Linked DNA regions of Oreochromis niloticus. The protein of the gene in region 1 interacts with the protein of each later gene in a biochemical or structural test. Links are inferred from orthologs where the notes say so. Each region holds a gene or a part of one and is shown on either strand. Other genes may lie near its edges.

Region 1 (7,556 bases):
TAAAGTCTCAGAGATCCAATACAATTAAGTAATTTACTTACAGGGATGTTTGTGGCTCATGACCATGATATAAAATCTGTGAGACATACAAGAAGAACCCTGTAGCTGAGTTAGAGCTTGTGGATGTGTGCCCCAGGGTGGCTGTGGCTACAATGTAGCTTGCCATCACCAGTGTGTGAATGTGTGTGTGAATGGGTGGATGACTGGGTGTGTAAAGCGCTTTGGGGTCCTTAGGGACTAGTAAAGCACTATACAAATACAGGCCATTTACCATGGTGGTTAGTAAGCTCTATGTTCCGCTGAAAATCTAAACTATTTATATTTCATCTTTGGTTGCTTAGATGTCAGATGGCACCACAAGCAAAGGTCAGGTGTGCTGTTCTTTGAGGCCCAACTGAGTATCATCAAGTGCTTCATGACATTCTGGGTCTGAGCTGCATCTTCTATACACAATGATTAAAAAGTGTTTATAGATCTTGGCATATATGTGGTTTAATTTCTGCACCTATACATTTATGAAGTTGCACTTTGCAAGATGCATGAAGTCAAGTAAGACTTGATTAGTAAAAAAAAAATACACCACTTTTTAAAGTGTATTCCTTTCTGAAATGGCAAGCCAAGCGGCTTCATTCAGCCATATAATGTACAGGTAATACTATACACCATGAAATTAAATGTTCCTCCAGACCATGGCAAGGCTTAAACCATACAAGACTGCAAACAGAATTACAGAAGGTGCACAGCATTATACAAATATAGATATATATATACAGTATAAATATATACAGACAACAAAATTAAATTTGAATTCCTTACAGTTTCTTCTTTTGCAAAACAAAACAACTGCACCACCCCAGTCCGACGTAAGATTTCTCCTGTGAATGACTTTCAAATCTGTCTGATTAATAAAACACGCTGTGGTTTCACAGCAGCAGCTCCCTGCACCCAAACAACTTTTGTTTGGGTTTGTAATTGGATTTAACAAGCACAAGCTGCGACACAGTGTTGTTTCTGTTGACTGCATGTCATTTGAGAGCAATGCATTGAATCTGAGCATTTTATCGATCGACCGGCCGAATCAAGTGATTTCCCTTTAGATCTTTATGCGCTTAATCCATTCAAAGTCTGTGCACCACCTTAACGTAAATGTTGCCATGAAATCAAATCTCTCACAATGCATCTTATGGAATCTTATGGAATCTGAACCATTGTTAATGTTTTTTCCCTAGTATTAATTCAAATAATCCGTGTAGGGATTAATTTGTGTATACAGACATTTGACTCGAAGCATCCAGGAGATTTGTTTCAGAAAATCTGCTTGTGGCCAAACAGCTAGGCTTGACAAACCTGCATCAGGCAGCTCCGGTCAGACTGTTTTCCACACAAAACGGTCCAGCAGATCAGACACAGGAATGTATAGAATTCAAAATGTGTCAAGGGAATTCAATAACCAGGCTCAGCCTCTATCCATTTAACCTAAGATGGTTTCACTAAGGATTACTGGTTTGGTTTCTATTTTAAAGAAGATTTAAGTAGTTAATTCTAGTCAAGTGGAGTTGACATGAGCAATTTTCCTTGACAAATAAAGCCTGACAGTGTCCCTTTTGATGAAACCACCAATTTGCCAACCAGGTGTTATAACCACCTGACCTATTCAGATATCCATACCTGCTGGGTACAGAGCAGCTGCTGACCAAATGTCAAAGCAGGTTTTTGTTGTTATGGTGGCTTATTAATATTTTCCAGAAGGCAGTCACACTTTTCTTTCCTTTCTTTCTCCCCTTTTAGCACTGACTCAATCAAAAGTGACAAGTCTTAAATCAAAATCACCACAATCATTAGCATTATTCAGTTATTTGTTATGCTGTTTATGTGTTATTTAGAATATGGCAGTGACTCGGAACATGCATATAATATACACATTTGTTTTTTTTTAATATTCACATAGATCATAAATGGGTAACAAACTCCATCAAACGCGCTTTCGAGGCACGCAGGCTTATCAGGAGAGGTTTAGATAAATTTTCCACTTCATTTATTTCCCCTGTTGTTGGTAACTTGTTAAAGCTGCTTAGCGATGCTGATACAGGACGGAGTGTGCAGCGTGTACAGCAGTCACCTGCGCAGCACGAAGCTTGTGCCTCTGAAAACCCAGCACTAATTACAAATTAGAAAGCACGAACAGATCTGAAATCAGCGCTTCGCGGGTTGGGAAGGGCACCATGACACAGACACATCGCCACTCTCAAGTCTGAAACTAGGGTATAACTCACTTATAGCCCCCCAGCCCCCCACTCTTTCTTGGGGTGGTTAAAAATGTCTTATATTAACGCCCAGCCCAGGATCGATAAGGTAAACAGTAGACCTGTCATACAAATAAATCCTCCCCACAATGCACAGCCGCTTGCGCTACCTGCAGTGTTAGTTAATGTATGTATGCATCTTTGAGCGACATGTCATAGATTATAAGCTATACCCTGGATTATCTTATTTTTCTTAAGTTTAATACATCACACAGAGAAAACAGTAAGAACTGTCTTACCTTCACGCCATAAGTTTCTGAATCTTTGTTTTCACGGGAAGCGGCTGTTAAATCCAAGATCATCCACAGTTAGCTCCCACTGTATCCTTTATTTGCTTTACTCATTGCTTACTCTTTAAAGAAAGAACAGTCTCTGCGCGTCGTCTCTGGTGCGAGGCATTAGTTCAAGCTGGTAGGTAAAAAATAAACGCACTACTGGGAGCCAAAATACATAGCCTAACAGTGAAAGAATGATTTAAAACGACACCTAAGATCACTTGCTGTTTTCCGGTCGTTTAATTAAAGCCTCGAGGTTTGATTTTTTTTTTTTAATTTTTTTTAAATCAGTTCTGATCTTGAGAGAGCGGAGAAGCAGAAGCGGAAACTGAGCGGTGCCCTTCTGGTGTCCAGGAGCTTTACGCAGAGAGCTAAGAGTTACCTTCTGCACTGACGGAGACGGGAGACGCGGCGGCTGTGAAGAACTGTGGAAAATCAAGGCGGGGTTACATCTGTTTAATTCCTAAGAGGGATGCATGTTTTTTTTTTTTAATGTCACCGGTGTAAGTGAAACCCTATTCCCTTATGTTTGCCTCCGATTTTCCACAGTTCAGTCTTCTCTCCGTGGCACGGTTTGCGCTTTTTGTGTAATAAGTAAATAATGGAAAATGACAGTGTGGGATTTAAAACATTTTTGGACATCTTTTGATCACTAAAGAAACAGTTGGTTAATAAGTGGGCACATGCTCTGTTAGGATGTGAGTTGGTGGATCAGCAAAAGCCGTGAAAAATGGTAATGAAAGAAATAAGCGAACACATGGACTTACAAATCCATCCCACGCATTCCTCATTGTCATTTTCTTAGATAATGATCTTTTATATTTATATATGTATTTTTTTTTCATCTATTGCCAAACCTTGTCATTATTGTTAATTGCTGGCATTTCTTAGGACTCTGTTGGCTTTCATCCCAGCAATTTTACACAGTGAATGCTACCAAGCCAAGTAAAAGGACAGGAAGCAAACCGTTTTGTTTGTCCTTGGGACAAGTAATAAGGAAAGAATGTACAATTTCATATTACACCACTGAGATTTATTTGTACCTGCTGGTTCCATTCAATACAAATGACACAAACCACCTTCCTGAGTGTGTGCATGTATAGGGAAGTCCAAACCAGAAATGTAAATGTTACATCAGGATCAATTTTTGACTCTTTGTAAGTGGCATTGGACCGTCGCTCTCTTTTAATGACTGAGTGTGAGTGTTAGACAGAACCTCCTGGAAAGAAACATAGTTGTTGATAATCCATTGATGATCCATTTATCCATTATTTTACAACTAGAAATGCAATGTTTTGGCACTTTAGGAAGTACATGAATAGTTATATTAAGTGCAGTCCTGCCCAACTGCAGCACTTAAAATCTAGCTTTTATATCATCTTGCTCTCTACCCTTTACACATGTGACTTAAATAAGAACTTCCATTTAAGTAAGACCTGGATAATATATTCATATCTAATTTGACATTGAAATAAAATATTAATTACAGCCTGTAGGCACAGAAATACATTAAAAAAGGAAGAGGTAGAATAAGTCCAACAGTATGTTATACTTGGTGGCAGACGAATCACCTACAGTTTTTAAATATGTTTTTCTAAATGAATTCCTCATCATGCATACTTTGACTTGGAATTTCTCACGTGCAGTTTTCCTAAGTGCACTTCTTCACTATTAACACTATTTGAATGCACAAATGTTATGTTTAATGAAGCTTGCCTCATTTTTTTAAAGGGTGACATTTCTTTGCATTGATTAGCAAACCTGACATTTTTCAAATATAATTCAAGTGCAATAAGAAGATAAATTTAATGTTTAACATCAAGCTTTATGACTGCTTTCACATGGTTCCAAAAGTAATCATTTTGCATGTGTGTGCATATTTTTTTCATTCAAGAGAAAAGGAAATGGCAACCCACTACCAGATAGATGTTTTCCCTTTGCTGCAAATGTAATTAAAACACAGATAATGTTTTGGTTGTATTGCTTCTGTGGGCAGTTCAGCTGAGGGAAAAGTTTGGAGACATCATCTACATACTCAGTTATAAGAAATAAGTAACTGAAGTGTGACTAAAACATGGCAACACGGCTGAGAGAACACAGACAAAGCAAAAAAAAGCTAGATTACAACACCCCAAATCTTCACAGCGGATGAAATGTCACATATTAGTGACACAACCAGAGCATTAAAATTCTCCTCTGTTGGAGGCAGCCCTCACAAGAAGCAGCTTTTCTTTTTTTTTGCTTTTGCACTCTTGTGGGGACGTCTGTACTGAGGCAGATAGCCAGTTTTGACTTTATGTCTGAATCACACATAAACACAGACACAAACAGGCACATAAATTCATACTGCACACACACAAATATGCACACTCCCCAGGCTATCTGTGGGAGGCGCAAACACATCTAACTGCTAACTGCCATAAGGTAACGCTGGAGCCTGATGGTAACTGATACGGCCTCTATTAATTTGTGACGATGAGTGGATGTCAGCAGATCGCAAAATAAATGACAACAACTTTGACGCCCCCCAAATAAGATTAATTTACAAACCAGTTTCACCCACATGTCACGCTAATGAACATCTCACAACCCACAAAAAGATTCCTTCCAGACAAGAGAACCACAAAGCATAGTCTTGATGTCATGGCGCTAAGTTCTCGTCTCCAACTGGCACGCATTTTCAGCCTTGAATGGAGCTTGGAGAAATATTGTACATTCTAGACACATGCACGCCTTTCTAAGCCTCGCCAAGCACAGAGCCACCACCAGTGAGCAGATGCTGGCTTTAGGTGAGCTGTGGAAAAAAACACATTGACCTGGCATGAAGGAGGGCCCTACTGTGACAGAAAAGACGTTCAGTCCCTATTTAACTCACATGAGCACAAAAAGCATGCACATATTTCCCATTCACTAGTCCTTAAAATGAATCATATTTTACACACCAGCAGTCAATGCTTTAAACTTGAACTCATCCTATAAAGAATTTATATGGTGTGACACTGGTGTGACATTGTGTGCTTGTTTCTGAGCTCTTTCCCTGGTTTAACACTTGCACTATACCCTGTCACACTGTATGCTGAGCGAAACAGAGTGACAAAGAGGGAGACAGTGTTGGCATGACTATCTGTTTGGGAGATAATAGTGACAGCAGTTGCTCTGCAGAAAGGACTTAAGGCATGATGAGGAAGCATGAGATTAGAGATATCCAGATATAGGAGACGTGCTCGCAGCAGTAGGGTTGAGGCATGTAAATTACAGAAGTTAATATTCTGTTTTCAACATATCCCACAGTATGACTGAAAGCAATAATACCTTCATGCAATCCACTGTTGGCCAGACATGACTGAAAAACACAAACCTTGGATTTGCATTGTGTATTTCTTTATGATGATAAAGACCGATAATGCAATTATGTTCATTAACAAGCACATCAAATATGCATTAACTTGCAGCTGTAATGAATCCAAAACATAGACATTGCCAATTCCGTCTAGGTAACCTTTGCTCAGCAGATTCAAGTTGTTGACGATTTAATCTTTTTAGTCATGCAAGTAGTCTACCACCAGAAATGAGGATGTTACACGTTGCACATCTTTGCCCCAAACTAAAATGTATAACAACAAGCATCACTTAAGGATGACTTCTTTTGATGATCACTTCACCTTCAGTCTTGCAACATGTCAAAATGTGAAATTCATAAGCTCTGATTTTTTTGTTTTAGACCCTAACAGTGTTGTAGAAAAGTCTCAGGCGCCCCTCACGTGGGTGTGCAAAACATGTGGAAACATAAATGGAAACACATATAATTTTAACTAGCTTGGAAGTCGGCGTGATCCCACACTGCTTCAGTAATGTTGAGGTCCAAGCTCTGGGGAGGCCAATCCATGAGTGATGATGTTCCACTGTGTGTTTTCTTATCCAGGTATAGTGCATGACTGTGTGTTTGTGGTTATTCTCATGCTGAAAAATGAAGCTGTTGCCAGTGTAATGCTTTCCAGATGGTATTGCATGGTGGATCAAAATCTGATGCTCATAATTCCATCTGTTTTGACAAGATCCACAGCATCACTGGTGGAAATGCAGCCCCAAACCATGACAGAGCCTTCACCATGTTTTACAGATGGCTGCAGACACTTTGTACCTCTCTCCTGACCTCATTCATATCACTCTATAGGACCACTGATTCTCGGTCCAGTTCTTGTTTTATCTGGCATAACTCAACTTCTTTCTCCTGGTTTATTGACAGCAAGCTTTCCAATTAGATCATTTCTGGTGATCTTCAGTGAACAGTAAGATGAATCGTCTCCTGTTTCTCAAGGGCATGACTTTCAGATGCTATTCATCTGTTGTAGACATCTTTTTTAGGCCTGGCTATTTATCTTTTGTCCTCCCACTTGTCCAGTTTCTTTAAAAATTTTAAGTACACTCTTCACAAGAAACTGAGTTATGCAAAGTTTTTCTTGGCTTTGAAAACCACAATGCTACCATGTTATCTTTGGCATTTTTTATGAATGCAGCTAAAGAAATTGTGTGTTTTTGTCACAGGCTGCTGGTAATAAAGTCCCTAATGATACAATGTAAAACTAATACTTTGCTTAATCGGACAAAACCAGTTCATTCCTGGAGATGGGTGTTCTTTTCATGCGTGAATGATTTATAGGTCAGTGGTGGTTTAATAAAACATTCCTGTGAAAATGGTCAGGTACAAAACTGAAAGGTGGCTCCATAATGTAGCTTAATGCATTCACCTAACAAATGAAGGGTTGCTGGTTCAACTCCAGCTGAAGGCACAAATCCCATTTGGGGTACTTTACCAAGTACATACATGTGGTGCTACCTGCTCCAGCAACCGCTTGGGAGCAAAGTAGCTTTAAAGGCACTAGACTGAAAGTGAGTGTGAAAGCAGCCAGTGTGATAACATGCTAAGTTGTACATATACATTTTACTTTCAGAAGCTTCATGGGCAGTACAGTCATGC
Region 2 (8,262 bases), on another chromosome or scaffold:
ACCTTCATGCATAAAAGTACCAGCAGAATGGCCCTGTAACATCTGTTTTTCAAACATATTGACGTTCCTCTGAACATTTATGTCCTCAATTTATGCATGGGTGTCTCTCTCTCTCTCTCTCTCTGGAAAATCTGTAAACCTAAGAATATTTCCTCCTGCTGGTGGAGTTTCTCCTCCCTTTTAGTGTTCCATCTGCTAATTAAGACAAATGTTGCGTTGATGCTATACTGTCAGCCCTGATATGATAGCTTTCCAGCATTTGCAAGGCAGTACGGAGGGTGCTGAAACTCGAAATGTGCAGTCATTTTCCTGGCCGTGGCATTTCTTCCAGGAGCCCCCCAGCTGTTTTAGCATATGTCAGCATATCACAGGGATGCCGATGTTGCGCCGGCATTTAATGATGCCACTGTGCTGCTGATGGTGATGCCTTAATGATCGTGGTGTGTGGTTTCTGATAAACGGCTATAATCTGCAAGTGATTATGAACAATCATTTTCAGGGGAGGTGCTTTTGTAATATGTGTTTCAATAATGGCGTGATGTGAAGTGAAGCGGTGTTTGATGAATGCATTATTCTGTTATGTTGTCCTGTTTGGAAGGTAAATGACTACAGGAGCAGAATTTTCATGTCTCACTCTGGTAGTCGAGTTTTCTACGCCAAGACTTTTTTATGACCTAAAATGTGTGGCATCACAGATATGCACAAAAAACAGAATGATCATACAAAACTGACAGCAGCAGCAAAAACACTAGTTTAAAAGTCTGTGATATCACAAAGCAGATACTGTATGTATAAGCATACAGCTGGGTGGTGCAATGGTAATGCAATTGCCTTCCAAACAGATCCAGACAATGCAAACCTTACCTTATTACCTGCTGCAATACCTACTGAAGTTAACTTCAACATAGTGATCTAAAATTAGACAAACATAAGACAGCATTTAGACTGAACTTGATACAAGATGCAGACTTTAGTTTAGTAAACTCAACAAGGCTTCTAAAGTTCTAAATGATCCAGAAAGATCAAAAAAATCTTAGAGCAATTTGCCCCATTTTTGCCATGGCCTCTTTCTCTATTTCTCAGCCTTGTTCTCTCTATTCCTACGGGGCTACTGTAACTGCAGTTGACTGCAATAAGGAACTGCAGGGAAGGATACTGAATACTAAGATGGCCAAGTCAGACAGCCTACATTTTGATCCAACCCTCCCATGAATTAACAGAAAGCTCCTATCGGGCTATAGAATGATGGCGTGGCAGTTGTTAATGAACAAATCCAATAGCTGAACATCTGTTTACACGACGCTCGGGGGAGTTGAATTTTAATAAGCTACGCATGGAGATGTCTGACTGCAAAGTTTGGACTCGAGCATGAGTAAGAGGAATCGGGAGCAAAAATACAAATGAGCCTTCTGGTTACATGACTCGTCCTCGCGTCCTTCAGTATAAAAATCAATAAATGAAAACTGCAGCGCATTAATCTTTTTTCTTCAGACCAATTAAAATTCCTTTCCCCATCTTTTAGCAAGTAATGTATCTGAAATCATTTTCCCTTATTCCCATCTTGTTCTCTTTCCCAGCAGGGCCCTGCAATCTCCAGATCAGTAATTATAGTAGCCTATGTTTGGATACACCTTACCTGAAGTTTGCTGGTATGGTGTCTCAATTTACAATCCCACTCTCAAGCTTTCAGTTTTATTTACTTCTGCCACAGACCTTCTACTGTGGCTTGTTTGTCTTTTGGTTAGATTATGCATGTAATTCAACAGAAGATAGTTTCATGAATTTTGGGAAAAGAAGGAACAATCTTTAAAAAATGGGGTGGATTGTGCAGTTTGTTTTAATAACATAAATGAGTTGCACACACAGACTGTACATAAGAGATGTATGCAACCACTGAGAATTCACCCATTGGTTAGTAAAGTTTCATCCCAAGGGCTGAGGTGATAGATAACATCTTAGCATTTTGAAACCAGTCGTAGTTGGGTGTGGCCAAAAACAGGCCCACTCGTGGGATAAGAAATTACCAATCACAAGGTAGACCTGCCCCAAGGCAAATGCTGCTTTATTGCTGTGTTTTAACAGGGAGCATCATTTCTAGAATGAACATCATGCTGTGTTTAATAAACTAGCCACTGAGACCATAAAACTCATTAGGAAAGTATTCGCTGGGCTCATAGATCAAGCAACTGAAGGTTTGTATTTCCCACAGAGATTACTGAAATCTTTCTTGTTTTGGTAACAAAACGACCCCCCCACCCCCCTTTCACTTTTTACGTGTCATTTTTCAGACCCGGAAACCAAGCCCACTTTTTAAATACAGTCTATGTTGACACCAGCAGCAACTGCACCACCATATAAGCGTGGTTGCAGAGAAGGGATGGGCATTCTTCCAAGACCATCCATCATATTATAACCCCCCCCCAAAAAAGATAACCTTTTCTTTTTTTGTAGCTCAGTGACTAATATTAGAAAATCATGCACATCCCTACCCTCAAGGCTAACAAACTTTACTCCCTAAATAACTGATGAATAATGAGGCTTTTACTCTACCACCTTTATTTGGAAACCTGTGCACAGATGTCTCCCAATCTCTCTCTAGTCAAATTTGTAAATGTCTCTTAATTTTTGTGGACGTGTACAAGACCTGCAAATCTGTCATTAGAGCTTGTGTGTGCACAGTCAGATATGAAGATGTGCAATAAAAAACATCCCAGTCTGTATTCAGCTTCAAAACTGTGCTGCGGAGAAAAGCAGACAAGTCGGGCGAGCCTCTCTGTGGGAGATACATGTGTTGGAGAAAGTTGTCTGCAGTCACGTTTTCCTTTTTTACCTGAAATTTGTATTTTTAGCAAGCCTTATTAAGCATAATTCACTGTAATTTGAACCCAGACTTTCTCTGTGAAGGTCAAAAACTTGACCCTACCTTACGAAGTTAATATAGTACCTTACGAACCCTATTTTCAGTAGTAACAGTATTTTTCTTCGCAGTGACCACAATATTTTTTTTAACCATGGTTGACTCAGACTGTCAACATTTTATGTTACTAAAAATAACTCACTCATAAGTGATATACATGTATTCAGCTATGTATAAGCTTTGATAAACTTCTGATGCCTGAGCCCTCCACACTAGTAGTGTTTTTGGGGAGGACACTGAACTAACTTGCTCCCGATGTCAGACAAGCTCCTTGCATTCCAGCTCCACGGCCGAGTGTGTGTATGTGTGTGTCTGCTTATGTGAAACTCATTACAAAGCCCTGTAGAACCTGGCAAAGGTTAAATAATGTTCTGCAAGTGGCCCTTAACACATTTCACAGTTAAGATATGAAAGGAATAAATAACAATACCGGTCTGCATCAGTACAGTGTGTACTCCACTTCTCACTGGGAAAGGCTCCACTGCAACCTTGAATTGGGTAAGCGAGAGAAGATGCATGGATGGATAAATATAAGAATACTTGGATTCACTGAACATTTATTGGATAGTCTGGGTCCTGATGAGAAAGCAAGTGAAAAGCAGTGAGCACACACATTTGTCTTCTCAAGAACATAACTTAAAACCATATATGTAATAGCATGTATGGTGTTATGTTTAGAGAATGTGTGCACCTGCATACCTATCAAGCAGCAGACTATGGCATCAGTAGCCGCTTCACCAACAGGGGGACCTCAGAATAATCCCTCTCACGTTTCCATGGTGGTCACGCTTTAACTCGTGTTGTCATTATGCTGAAGCCCTCTGGTGAAGTTATTTTAATTTTGACCAAAGGCCTGTGAGTGTTAAAGTTCATACTCAGCAGTGATTCAGCAGCCTTTTGCTGAAAATGTAACGACCCACTTACACACATCATTTATTCACACCCCATTGTTTGAACGGCTTGCTGCCCTAGGGAGGCTTTGAGACTGTAGATGGGCTTTTTAACAAGCTAGCAGATCAGTCTCTCCAAACATGACTTGATGTTTTCGTTTTGTAACCAAGCTTTAAAAAAACTAAACCAAACATATCACGAAACACAAAAACTATTTCAGTGTGTAACTTGGCTACCTGCCGTGTTATCAACCATTAACATTAAGTTTGACAATTCACTGTTAATGGAGGAAAGAGAGAGAACAGAGAGAGCAAAAGAGGCAGGTGATCTTTTTTTGAGTATGGGCTGCTCTGCTGCTGACATTTGAAATGATTGAAAATAGCTTGCATTTAAAATGCCATTGATTTTAGGTGTTTTTTTTTTTTAAATGAGTCATTGAATATGTATGATGTGATCATGAGAAACGCCATTAACAAATGCTAATCATTTCTGTGTTATTTAGTTTGGTGTGAGAATACTGAAAAGTTTAAACAAGTGCAGATATGGAAGTGGATTACTTTGTAGCTATTTTTAAACATAGCAATAAATAAATAAATAAATAAATGAATGAATAAATAAACTTTTCTTTACTTCACACTAAAAAAGTGATCTTTATACAAACCGGTATTATTAACGGTAGTTACTTGGGCCAAACGCTGTAAATCAGATATCATGTAAATTTGGAATTTTACCTCAAACGCAGGACTGCCAATGGCATTGTGGGAATTGTAGTGTTGCTCAACCTTGACTGACCCCGACGAAGGACTAAAAGTTAGATTATTCCGAATCGTTTTAGCCCCTTTACTTAAGGAACTTTGATATTTATGTTAAAAATGTAACTTATTCCTTTTTAATACAACCCTTTGCCACAATTAATTTTTGTCCGTTTGAACAACAAACTCAGATTTCACAAGTTACAAACACTAACTTTGAATCCAGTGCAGTGATTAGGCATTAAAAAAGGGTAAGTGGCTAATTTGAGTGTTATAAAGAAAAACAAGACACCCCGCCACCACTTTCGACCTTTTCTTTCTTTCTTTTTTTGTGTGTAAAACTGGGCAGGCAGACTGACCTGTAAACAACGTTACATATAATGTGAATATGAGTCGAAAAGTTAACCTCTCGCTATGTGCCCGGTGACACGTGTAAAGGCTCTCAAAGCACACAAAGAGTCAGTGTGTGTCCAGTGGTACCGCGACGTCAGTGTCTCTGGCACTGAGCTGAGTTGGTCGGGGCCATGCAGCAGAGGCAGCAACGTCACTCCCTGACGGCGGCATCAGAGCAGCACGGACGGCCATCCGCGCAGCAGCGAGTCGCTCGCTCCGGAACTCGGCGAAGGAAGACGGCGTCGGACAGCGGCTTTCTGCTGTGGGGCAAATTATTTCTTTTCACCGCGACTTTCCGCTTTTGTGGCTAAGGTAACCAGAAGCCGCTTTATATGGGAACGTTTTTTTCTTTATTCATTTAAAGGTGTGTTTTCTGTTTTTTTTTTTCCTTGTCAACTAGCTACACGGAACAGCATGGGTACCAAACGTTTCGAGTACAATGACTAGCTTCCCGCACTGTAGCCATAAACTGAGGGTTGCTATGGTACTGCCAGGCAACATCCCACCTGCTGCTGCCGCGACTGTATGTATTTCTCGCTGCTGTCAATCAAAACACGTTGAAATTAATAAAAACAAAGCGCTTTTCGAGGGTTTTAACCAGGCTATACGTTTGTTGAGATTGTATGTATTTTAGTTGTGCTGTTTTGTCTTAGCCAGCTGTTTGAATCAGTCATTTAACAACGTGACTTCATTTTCTGCTCGTTTAGGCTGTGCTGATTTAACGCAGAATACTTTAATAGCAGCCTCTACAGTTAAATTGACAGCACTCTTCTAGCTGCATATTGTCTGATGCCTGCTGGCTACACTCAGCAGCTTAGGCAGACACTAGAAAGGTCGTCTTGTTTTGAGTGTTTTTCCAGTCAAGTGCCCATGTGTCTGTGGCTCTAGGTGACAGTCCAGTCCATTTCTCATGAAACACAGCACATGCCTGTCATTCCCTTTGTAACTGCTGTCTGTTTGTTTATTTTCATAGTGTCTGTGTAATATCCAGGACCAGAAGGCTTGAGCAAACGCAAAATGGTGATTACCAGCGTGGCATCCCTCGCAAAGACATCGCTGGCCGTGGACGCAGAGTACAGATGTTTGCAGTGAAGGTGCATAGTGCGTACAGTAGTCTTCTAATTCTGTGGCTCAGACAGCTGCTGTGGTTAACCGTCAGTGCATGCCAACGCCCGGCCCACGGTACAAAGAAATTCCATTATCCCCATCTCTGTGACAGAGAGGAAGAAATCACCATGCCGTGTTGTCATGAGGCCAGAAAAGGAGGGAGAATTATGAGTCAGAATGGAGGAGAAAAAAAAAGAAAACTGTCACTCTTCAAATACACATCTAAACTTGGTAGACAGCTCACATGCTTATTTTAAGAGCAGCACCGGATCTCTTTTGTGCTGTTCAGTTGGCATCAGAGCTGTAGAACCGTGAACAGACTTGGCGTCTTTCTGGTATCTTCTTTTTTTTTTTCCCTAGAAATTATTACTGAAGCCTTTTAAAACTGTTTCTTTACACTGTGGTGTCTGTGTAAATTCCAAGGATTAGAGCTAACGTTTTAGAGCGAGCGCAAAGTGCAGCGGGGGGCATCCAAGTCGAGCTCTGTTCATTGTATTTTAGTTTACACACCTCCTTATCTCAGCTGTCAAGAGGGAGGACTCTTTTTCTACAGTAACTTACCCTGAGCAATAGAGATAGTGGTGGGAAAGGAGGGGTGGGAGGAGTGAGAAGAACAGAGAATGACTGTGAGGGAGCGAGCGTGCTTAACCCAGCCACTGAGTGACTCTTGTATCCAAGGACGAAGGTAGCAACGTGTCCAAACGCCACTCTTCGCCCACGGGCTGCTGTGAAGAAATGAGGCGGACACATAGGCGCTCCGCAGCGCTCGTATAGACTCAACAACCTGCTGGGTCCTCTTCACGTGGTCCCCTGGGGTTTGACTCGTCTGTGTGGAGTGCTGATGGCTGAGCAGATCATGACCACAGCTAGAGTGATATACACAGAACGATTAGCGTGAATGGGAGTGTTTTATTTCTTTTTCTGTCAAAGCAAACTCAAATAAAAGTGTCTTTCTCCTATCTCACCCGTGTCTTCGCACCTAAACTGGCCCCACTTCTCTTGCGTGTTTTGGCAGAGGAGCAGACTGGCGAGGACGTAGTAACAGGTGATACGTGCCAGCGTGGATTTGGAGGCGTCGAAGAGAGCTGAAGATCATGGGTAAATCCAACAGCAAGCTCAAGCCAGAGGTGGTAGAGGAGTTGACAAGGAAAACCTACTGTGAGTAACTGAAAGTGTGTTTGTTTTTTGCTTGTTCTTACAAAGAAAAACTTTGCAGAAACTTTTTCTGTGAGCTTGTCATAGCCTGTTGGCCTGAGGTTAAAGAACATACAGCTTGCAATAGGAATACATAATACAGAGTTTATTGCTGCGGTTTGCTAATCTCATTTTCCACCCACTGTGCACCACACAGGCTTAACAGTAAATAACGCTGCCTGCTGGGATGCTTTGGGATGCTATACATTTTTCACCACTGACAGAGCAGATGTCAGTTGCGAACGATCTCCTCATTTGTTTCAAATTTCAGATTTTTGAATGTATCGCAGACATTACTAAGCTAAGGCTGAGTAAAAAGTTGCAACCGGCGTCTTTAAGTTACGCTGAGGACATAGTAGAGTTTGCGGCAGCTGTAATGATAGCTTTTCTTTACAGATGAGCGTGTGGTTTTATGTGTTGCGCTTGTAAACATGCTGTATTTTCTACTTCTAATGTGACAGACATTGATAAATTTAAACATACAAAGGGTAAATCAATTCACGCCGTGCTTGTGCTGCTACACTTATAAATTGCATTCCTGCATCAAGATCGATGGATGGGGTGGGCTCACAGAAAGGGGACTGACCCTCCAATCAAAAACTGTAGCGAAGGTGTGACTTTGTAATTATATCTTCTATCGTTGTTCCCGTTGATGCATTAGGGTGCAAATTGACTGTATTTCTACCATCTTACCAGCCGTTGCTTACCAATGTCTGCTCAGCTATCACTTTGGATCACATTTCTAATTACCACCAGCAATGTCTGCTTGGTATCCACTATATTAACCACTTGTGTGTTATTTTTGGAGCACAGCATTGCTATTATTATTATTATTATTATTATTATTTGAGCACCGTGGTGTGCAGGTGTGGGTGGGAGTTGACATCCCCTGGCTGCTTAATGACAGTGTTATTTGTGTGGTGGGTCTCTCCACAGCAGAACCAAGGAAGGCTGTTGTAGCAGGAAATTGCTGTGGAGGAAGATTAGACTTCATGCTGGGCTGGACTG

Evidence for each region.
Region 2: the proteins of drd2a (region 1) and neuronal calcium sensor 1 form a complex in vitro, tested with the Homo sapiens proteins (2 studies listed by BioGRID, with this or other methods). The link is inferred for Oreochromis niloticus from reciprocal best matches to the Homo sapiens genes DRD2 and NCS1.

What each region holds. Positions count from the first base shown.
Region 1 is NC_031979.2:20,914,747-20,922,302, reverse strand, and holds the start of drd2a (dopamine receptor D2a), read right to left. Parts: upstream 3,048-7,556; 5' UTR 2,543-3,047; intron 1-2,542. UniProt on the Homo sapiens protein: Dopamine receptor whose activity is mediated by G proteins which inhibit adenylyl cyclase. Positively regulates postnatal regression of retinal hyaloid vessels via suppression of VEGFR2/KDR activity, downstream of OPN5.
Region 2 is NC_031977.2:11,092,890-11,101,151, forward strand, and holds the start of neuronal calcium sensor 1, read left to right. Parts: upstream 1-5,112; 5' UTR 5,113-5,265; intron 5,266-5,353; exon of another isoform or gene 5,354-5,476; intron 5,477-5,926; 5' UTR 5,927-6,047; exon of another isoform or gene 6,048-6,054; intron 6,055-7,075; 5' UTR 7,076-7,154; coding exon 7,155-7,218; intron 7,219-8,262. UniProt on the Homo sapiens protein: Neuronal calcium sensor, regulator of G protein-coupled receptor phosphorylation in a calcium dependent manner. Directly regulates GRK1 (RHOK), but not GRK2 to GRK5. Can substitute for calmodulin. Stimulates PI4KB kinase activity.